Linked DNA regions of Neurospora crassa OR74A. The protein of the gene in region 2 purifies or fractionates together with the protein of the main gene of each other region. This does not show direct contact. Links are inferred from orthologs where the notes say so. Each region holds a gene or a part of one and is shown on either strand. Other genes may lie near its edges. The genes, in order: NCU05608 and NCU00621.

Region 1 (3,711 bases), on a different chromosome or scaffold from region 2:
CTTCGGCGCGGTACCTCTGCTGCCAATCGTCCTTGTTCAGCGAGACCATCCACTCACCCTGGCGTAGATAGCACTTGGCCAGCAAGACAGTCTGCTCAAGCCAGTGTTTCTGTGCCTGTGGATGCATCATCTCTTCATTGAACTCGGCAAACCCTGGCTGGTTTTGCACCTCCATGCCGTTCTGTGCATGGGCAGCCATGTGCATACGCGAGGTTTCAACGCGGTGCGCAGTCTCCTGCGTGAACCTCTGCAGGCAGTACAGCGTCTTCTCGGCAACCCTGTGCTCCGAATTGCGGAATCCTGGTGACTGTCCAATCTCCCACTGGAACTTCAGAACCGCATACAAGATCGGAGACGCGATTCTGTTGCCGACCGAGCCCGGATGGCGATCGTGCCAGTAGGGAATGACAGAGTCCAATGGCGAGTCGGTTCCAATAAGCTGCTTGAGTGACTTTTCGGCGAGTCCCATGCGGCCCGACTTGCGACAAAGGTTGGCAAACTTGGTCCACATATGCATGTTCTCCTGCGGAGTCATGACAAGCGATCTCAAACGCAGCATGCGTTGCCATACCTCGACATTGCGCTGGCAGCCCTTGAGACGAGTCTCCCAGGTTCTGCGCATGGTAGCCTGCTTCTCTCCGTCGCATTGCTTGTAGACAATGAGCTCTTCCAGCTCCGCGAGCATCTGGACGCGTACTACAACCTGATAAGCCCGGTTGTAAGACTCGCTAACAAGCGCACTAAGCTCGGTATCCAGTCCTTCGCGAGCTTGCTCGATGCATGCCATAGCCTCCCTGAACTGATTGCGGTGAAGGGCCAGAATCGCACCGAAGAAAGCTCTATCTGGGGAGAAGCGCTTCATTGACTGAAGGTAGCTGTCCATCGAGTCCCATTTGCCGAGACCCCAGGCAGCGGTTGTGGCCAATGGAGCAATGCGTCTCTGAATTTCAGGGGCCGAATTGGCCCAGGTCTTTCCAGCAAGCGTAGCCAGAGAATCCCACTCGCCAAGAGCGTGATAACAACGCATCTTGCCCATCACAATGTCGACGGGAACAGGCTGGTCTTCGGGAATTTCGCGCTCACGTTGGCAGTAGAAGTTGAGGGCCTCGTCCCAACGCTCGAGCTTCTCGAACCAACTCTCGCGCAACTGGATACCCTCCCTGTAGGTCTTGACTTTACGAAGAATACCGATGGCAGCATCGGATTGCTGAAGCTGGTTGTTGATGACAATCAAAGCCTCCACTGCACCACTATTATGGTCCTGCAAAAACTCGAGCTCTTTATAGTGAAGAGCCTTTGCGTATGCGTGGCAACGTGCGGCCTCACGTCCCAATACTCTTATGTCAATAGGCAGCGCCTTATCATCGTGCTCCATGAACTCGGCAAGGTTGAGGAGCTGGCCAAGGAGATCCGGTGGCACGTTCTCCGATTTGATCGTATTCTCAATGTTGGTGATCAAGTCCTCCTGTTAAACAAGCTGTTAGTATCCGGCTCGGATCATTCTAAATACCGCGCTGACATACCTGGAACTGTTCATAAAGCTCGCTCCAGCAGGACACGAAGGCCGAGTTGAAGAGCTCACGCGCAAGAGGCTGGTAGTTGCTGGCCAAGCTGGCACAAGCACGCAAGGAATGGTTCGGCGACTCGGTAAGAAGAGTTGTGCTAAACTTCCTGAACCACTCATGCCAATCGTCCTTGGTGGACTTGCCCTTTGTTTCCCACACTTGCTTGAGATGCACCGGATTCAGGGTCAACTTCTTGGGCGGGTTGTTTTCGGCAGCAAAGCCCTCCATGGAGATGTCTTCAAACCGAGGAGCGAGATTTTGTGGGAGGGCCTCGCCCTTCTTTAGCTTCTCGATGGCCTTTTCGTAATTCGAGTGCTGGATGGCATACATGGAGATCGCCTTGTCGACTGTGTGCTCGAAATGCAAGTAGTCGCGTCCTAGTTGCAGCATAAGGGCGCAAAGTGTGTCCAAAGCCGCTACCCGAAGACTCGGCTCGCCACTAGCCAACACACGAGTCAGAGGATGGATGATCTTTGACGCGTAGTCGTTCAAGTTCACCATGCTCGAAAGCTTGCCGATCGTCTCGATAGCCGATTTCCGAAGGAACAATGGCTGGCTGTGACTGTCGAAGAGGCGTACAATAACTGGGATTATCAAATGCATGTACTCTTCGGCGCTTGAGCCAAATACCAGGAACGCGTGGAACACTTTCTCGCTAGGTTGCCGCTTCGTGCTAACATCCTTCTCGAGCACGCCTAGCATAAGTGGGAGTAACTTGGCGAGGTAAATCTTGAACTCGCCCTCAAGAGACCGCGAGATTGACTCTATCAGCCCCAGGATAGTGCTCTGAAGCGCGAGAGTTGTGTGCCAGTACTCCTGAAGAACATCGATGATGTCCTTGAGATAAACTCGGATGTGTTGGCGAACGATACTGACCAGCCTGCTCAAGTGATTGAAGTAGAACTCAAGCCGGGCGTTGCTCGACGCACGGATGACTGATATGAAGGCGGGGACCACACGATCAAGGAACTGTACACACTTCAGTCCCAGAGTGATGAAAATGCTCATGATGGCATCGACAACGTTTCCGTGCCACTGGACTAAAGACTGATCCTTCAGGATCTGAAGCAGTGCGTTGATCACCACGGTCGGATAGTAGTCTTCATTAGATGGTGTTAGGCCACCCATCATCAGAGAGACATCAGTCAGTTGGGCGGCTTCATTGTTCCGCTTGTTGTCATCAGTCCTTTCTTCGACCTGCATCAAGTTAGTCAACGCGGTTTTGAGGGAATCGGGGGTCTTGTTTGAGGGGTTTCCGCTCCTCGCACTCGCGACATTGGCCACTTGGCTGGCCATACTGTCCTTTGCAGGACTAGCCTGGAGCATTTCATATAGGTGATCGGTCAAATGCCGAAGGTGCTTGATTTCGTCTGGAATTGACCTCAGGGTATCCTATACCTGATGTTTGTAAGGGTCCAGAGCGCCTAGGATGCCCATAAGTTTGATGGTCTCCTGTCGCAATGTGCCGTGTTGGGGCTCTCCGCGGATGATTGACTGGAGAATCTCCAGAAGTTGGGGATATTCGAGATAGGGTTTGATGACATAGCCAGCGTTGCTAGCAAGTTGACCGAGTGTGTGGAGAGCAGCTTCCCGCTTGATAGGAGCACTCTGATCTTGTAGGGCATCAATGATAATGGGCATCAACGTATCCTTGTAAGCAAGCATCGATTCACCGCCGACCGTGCACAACTCGCCAATCGCCTGAAGGACAGTTGCAGCCACAGAAGGCGTGGGATCACGCGCTTTTGGTAAGAGAACCTCGGTTATGGAGTTCACGTAGGGCTTGACCAAGTCCTGGGCATGCTGCGTAAGCAGACTGAGCAACTTGGAACTCTCCTCTTTACTCCTGGCCACATCCGTGTATTCCAGTTCCGTTAGCATCTGAATAATGGTCTTACGCAACTGTGGAATGACGTAGGCCGGGTTGTAACGAGCCAGACGTCCGATGATCGAAACCGCAACTTCTCTGATGGCGAATTGTTCGTCGTGGAGGGCGAAAAACAAGGTCCGGATATTCTCAGCTTTGGCTAGGTGCTGATCGAAGCGCTCGTCGAGGGCGGCCAGAACAGTGCGTCTGATGCCGGGATCCGGATCCGAAACTCCGACTGTCAAGAGCTTCTCAATAACATCTGCGACCACCTGGAGG
Region 2 (4,331 bases):
AGCGTGGACCCAACGTTGGTTGTTTCATGTTTCTTATTTTCACGCACAGACCATCCCGCACTCGCTTCCTGCAAGCATCTTCCATCAAGCATCTTCCATCAAGCTTAGGGGCCGGAAGAGTTGATGCCGATGCGGAGAACACATCGACATGCCACTGAACCCGGTACGTACGGATGCAGAGGATGTGTATCTCCAAGAAGGTGACTTCCCGTGTCCGTATCGATGTGAATGGGTTGGTCGGATGTCGTGACAGAATGCAGAAACTCGTTTGGACTTGTTCGGAGCAGGTGTCCTCGGGGTGGCCGGCTCCCGTTCCGGACGTTTTCACGTGAAGTTCCCGCTCCGCGGCAAAGGGCCGAAGCGCACAGACCCCTTGCTCAGCGATCCCCAATGGCCGGGGCTCCACCCCCGATATTTTTTGAAATTGGAGTTCATGCAAAAGCACGATCAATGCAACTCGAACCTTTTTTTCCCACAGCCAACAAATCCAAGGTAGATTATGTTGAATATTCAGGTGTGAATGCCACTGCAGCCCATCCCATCGTGTTAAACCATCCTAGGATACGGAACGAAGTAGTCAATATCAAGACACAAGCAGGTGAGCAGGAACAACAGGAAGGCTTCGGCATCTGCCGGCGACATCATGCACGACTATCGATATCTAGCAAATACCATGGAAGCGTGGCTTGCGGTCGAGTGAGCTTCGCCGATTTTGTGTTGAGAGGGCTCATAGGACAACTGATGCATATGGCTCGATGGTTGAAAACGTGCCAATAGAGAGGAGATTTCCATGTTCGCAAAGCTTGACAAACTGATGATAATCCGTCCTGCACAGTCAGTATATGTAGAAGTGATTGGCTAACGACGGGAATCGGATCCAGACCGAGGCGACGCATGGATTTGTGAGATCCTCGAAGCAGGCCTCGAGTCAAGTCAACGAACCGTTTCTTAACTCGGGCAATATCGATAATGAATGAAAAGTCCCACGGAGAATGGCAACGTTGCGGCGCAAGGAATGCAGCTTAGCGTACTTGTACCAACGAGGGGGGTGAGGCTGAAAGCATGGACCACCATGTGCACTGACTGCATCATCATGTGCGTTCAGTGCCTCCTTCTGTGGTGACACCGTGATGGTTCGGGCGGTACAATACCTCCGCTGGGCTTATTTGTATGCGGGAGATGCCAAGAAGGCCTTCAGCCTGCCTACCTACCTAGTACACTACCTCTAGTACCTAGGTACAGACGTACCGTACAGGTCACCCTTCACTGTTTTCACTCTACCTTGAGGTTGAATACTTGAGGTACGACTAGTAGTGTAGTGTAGCATCCGAGAAACGGGCACTCCCCGCAGTCCTCCCCTCTGGACAGGAAGCCTTGGCACCCAGAAACCCCCAAGTAGCGTATGGCTGATGGGCAGCGCATCCACATCCACACGTCTGTGCTCCACGGCCCGCATCAACCCACCACCACCACCCGCACCCACCACGACAACACACAGGCAAGGAAGCGGTTCCCTCTGCCGACATCATCACGGCCGGCATTGCCAGTTCAAAGCAGTAGGAGTTGCGTGTAGTTTCGTATTGCCCAAGTCTCACCAACTGCTATTGCGATATCCTCGGTATACCAAGTAGTGGAAACACAGGCAATTTGCTGGCAGTGACAATTGGTAGGCTCTGGTTACACAAGCGGAAGCGCATTTCACCCACTGCAGTGGGAATCTACGTCTATAACCCGCACGCAGCTGCCTCTGATAAAAGTCTAGCTAGATTGACTGACCCAATCCCATCTCTCAAACCTACAGCGCAAAGACCGGCATCATCCAACGAAAGTCACGACGGCACTACTACTGCCACCAAACTACTACCACCAGGCTACCTTGGTCAGATACGCATCATCTTCGTTACAGCCGACGGTCAATCGCACGCTTGCCCCACGCGCATCCGAACCTCTGCGTTTCCCTAGCCTTCAGATCGGTCCCCTCCTCTGCAGGAAATACAGCTCTGGTTGTGCCGCCTGATATAGCGCATCTACCTGGGCCGCCGACATCACCTCCAAGTCACCGTACGCTCGCTGTTTTACAGACTTCAGTTGTTACACCGCTGCTCTGTTCTCGACTCATCGCCTACCCGGCCTCGTCGCGGCCTTGAAAACCCGACTCTACCCTCCGAGGACCATGACCTTCGCTCTCGTCTAGTCGCGTACCATGACTGCTGTTTCTCTTCACGCCTCCCACCCCGGCTCCGCAGAATTTGGCCAGAGACAGCCCTCTGCTCCCACTCCCACCTCTGGCCGTTACGCGAGGCCCGGCTTTCCGTCATCAACTGCTACATCACCATCCCGCCACACAATGAACAACCCAGCTCGTCAAAGTTCAGTCACAATGTCACAAGTCCATCCTCAGAGGCCAGAAGACGGCAACCAGCGCGTCGCGACAAACGGGACCTCTCATCCTGCTGCCCATAACCAGCTGCCACTTCGATCCAACATACAGAGACGCATGTCCGATTCCTCACCAGCGCCCTTGTTTCGACGCCCCTCCAGCGCCCCCGACGACAATAACCAAACATCTCCTGGAACCACGTTGCATGGCGGGCAATCTGATGACGACGACCATATGCCTGTCGCCCGGCCGGCCAAGGCGCCATTAACGCGGTCTAAGAGCGAATACGGACTGCGGTTGGAGAGGGAAAGCCCCATCGAACAAGTTGACGAAGAGTACCATGATTGGGGTGCCAGGCATGGGTTCGAGGACCATTATCAGTCTGAAGAAGTCATTTCTCAGCTTGCAAATGTACGTTGATTTGTGTCTCTGCCGTTGGCTGGGGTGTCACTAACCGTGCGCTGAGCAGAGCTGGTACATGTACTTTACCGATAAGCGACATGAGACAACAGGGAAGCCAAAGACACCCGCTTTCGAGATCCAAGACTGGCGTATGCGCGATCGCCTAAAAACAGTTTCTGCTGCGATAGCAGTATGCTTGAACATAGGAGTGGAACCGCCAGATCAACTTCGCACCACCCCGGGTGCCCGGCTTGAAGCTTGGCAAGATCCGACGGTGCCTCCTGTTTCCAAGGCACTGGAGAATATTGGGAAAGCTTTGCAATCTCAATATGAGACCCTTGCTATTCGGACGCGCTACAAGCAGTATTTAGACCCGTCCATCGAAGAAACCAAGCGGTTCAGTGTCTCCCTCCGAAGAAGTGCCAAGGACGAGCGTGTGCTCTTCCATTACAATGGGCATGGAGTGCCCAAGCCAACAGCCTCGGGAGAGATCTGGGTTTTCAACAAGAACTACACGCAGTATATCCCCGTCTCTCTCTACGACCTTCAGCAATGGTTGCAGGCGCCCACGATATATGTGTGGGATTGCTCCGAGGCTGGCAATATCCTCACCAATTACCACCGTTTTGTTGAGAAGCACGAGCAAGAAGAAGAGGAGGCGGCACAACGGGACCCAAACCACGAAAAGATTAACTTCCGTCCCTACATCCATCTGGCAGCCTGCAACGTCAAGGAGAATCTGCCAACCAACCCCGACCTGCCTGCTGATCTCTTCACTTGCTGCTTGACTACCCCTATAGAGATGGCACTCTGGTTCTTCTGTCTGCAAAATCCGCTAAAAACCAAAATATCTCCTGAGCGAGCCAAGAAGCTGCCAGGGCGGCTTCAGGAGCGCCGGACGCCTCTCGGAGAGCTCAACTGGATTTTCACTGCCATCACAGATACCATTGCATGGACCACGCTACCACGCCATCTCTTCCGCAAATTTTTTAGGCAAGATTTGATGGTTGCCGCTCTTTTCCGAAACTTTCTCCTCGCACAGCGTATCATGCCTGTGTACAACTGCCATCCCCAGTCGTATCCAGAGTTGCCAGATACACGTCAGCATCCCCTTTGGGAGAGCTGGGACTTGGCCGTCGATCTGGCTCTTGCCCAGTTGCCGGCCCTCGAGAGAAAGGAGAGTGAAGGGATAGAGTATGAGTACATCAACTCGTCATTCTTCGCGGAGCAGCTCACAGCATTCGAGATCTACTTGACTCGAGGGGATGCTTTGTCCCAGAAGCCACCTGACCAGCTTCCAGTGGTTCTGCAAGTGTTGCTAAGTCAGCAGCATCGAGTACGAGCTCTGGTCCTACTAGCAAGGTTCTTGGACCTTGGCCCTTGGGCAGTACAACTGGCGCTCAGCATTGGCATCTTCCCGTACGTCTTGAAGCTCCTCCAGTCGGCGGCACAAGACCTAAAGCCAGTCATGGTGTTCATCTGGACTCGCGTTCTTGCGGTCGATATCTCATGCCAGCAAGACCTCATCAAAGATAGCGGGTACAATTAC

Evidence for each region.
Region 1: the proteins of NCU00621 (region 2) and NCU05608 purify together in Schizosaccharomyces pombe (affinity purification with western blotting; 5 studies listed by BioGRID, with this or other methods). This does not show direct contact. The link is inferred for Neurospora crassa OR74A from reciprocal best matches to the Schizosaccharomyces pombe genes mip1 and tor2.

What each region holds. Positions count from the first base shown.
Region 1 is NC_026506.1:1,344,406-1,348,116, forward strand, and holds part of NCU05608 (phosphatidylinositol 3-kinase tor2), read right to left. Parts: coding exon 2,964-3,711; intron 2,763-2,963; coding exon 1,524-2,762; intron 1,466-1,523; coding exon 1-1,465.
Region 2 is NC_026501.1:7,805,595-7,809,925, forward strand, and holds the start of NCU00621 (TORC1 growth control complex subunit Kog1), read left to right. Parts: upstream 1-1,485; 5' UTR 1,486-2,203; coding exon 2,204-2,791; intron 2,792-2,849; coding exon 2,850-4,331. UniProt on the Schizosaccharomyces pombe protein: Component of TORC1, which regulates multiple cellular processes to control cell growth in response to environmental signals. Tor2 is essential for growth. Nutrient limitation and environmental stress signals cause inactivation of TORC1.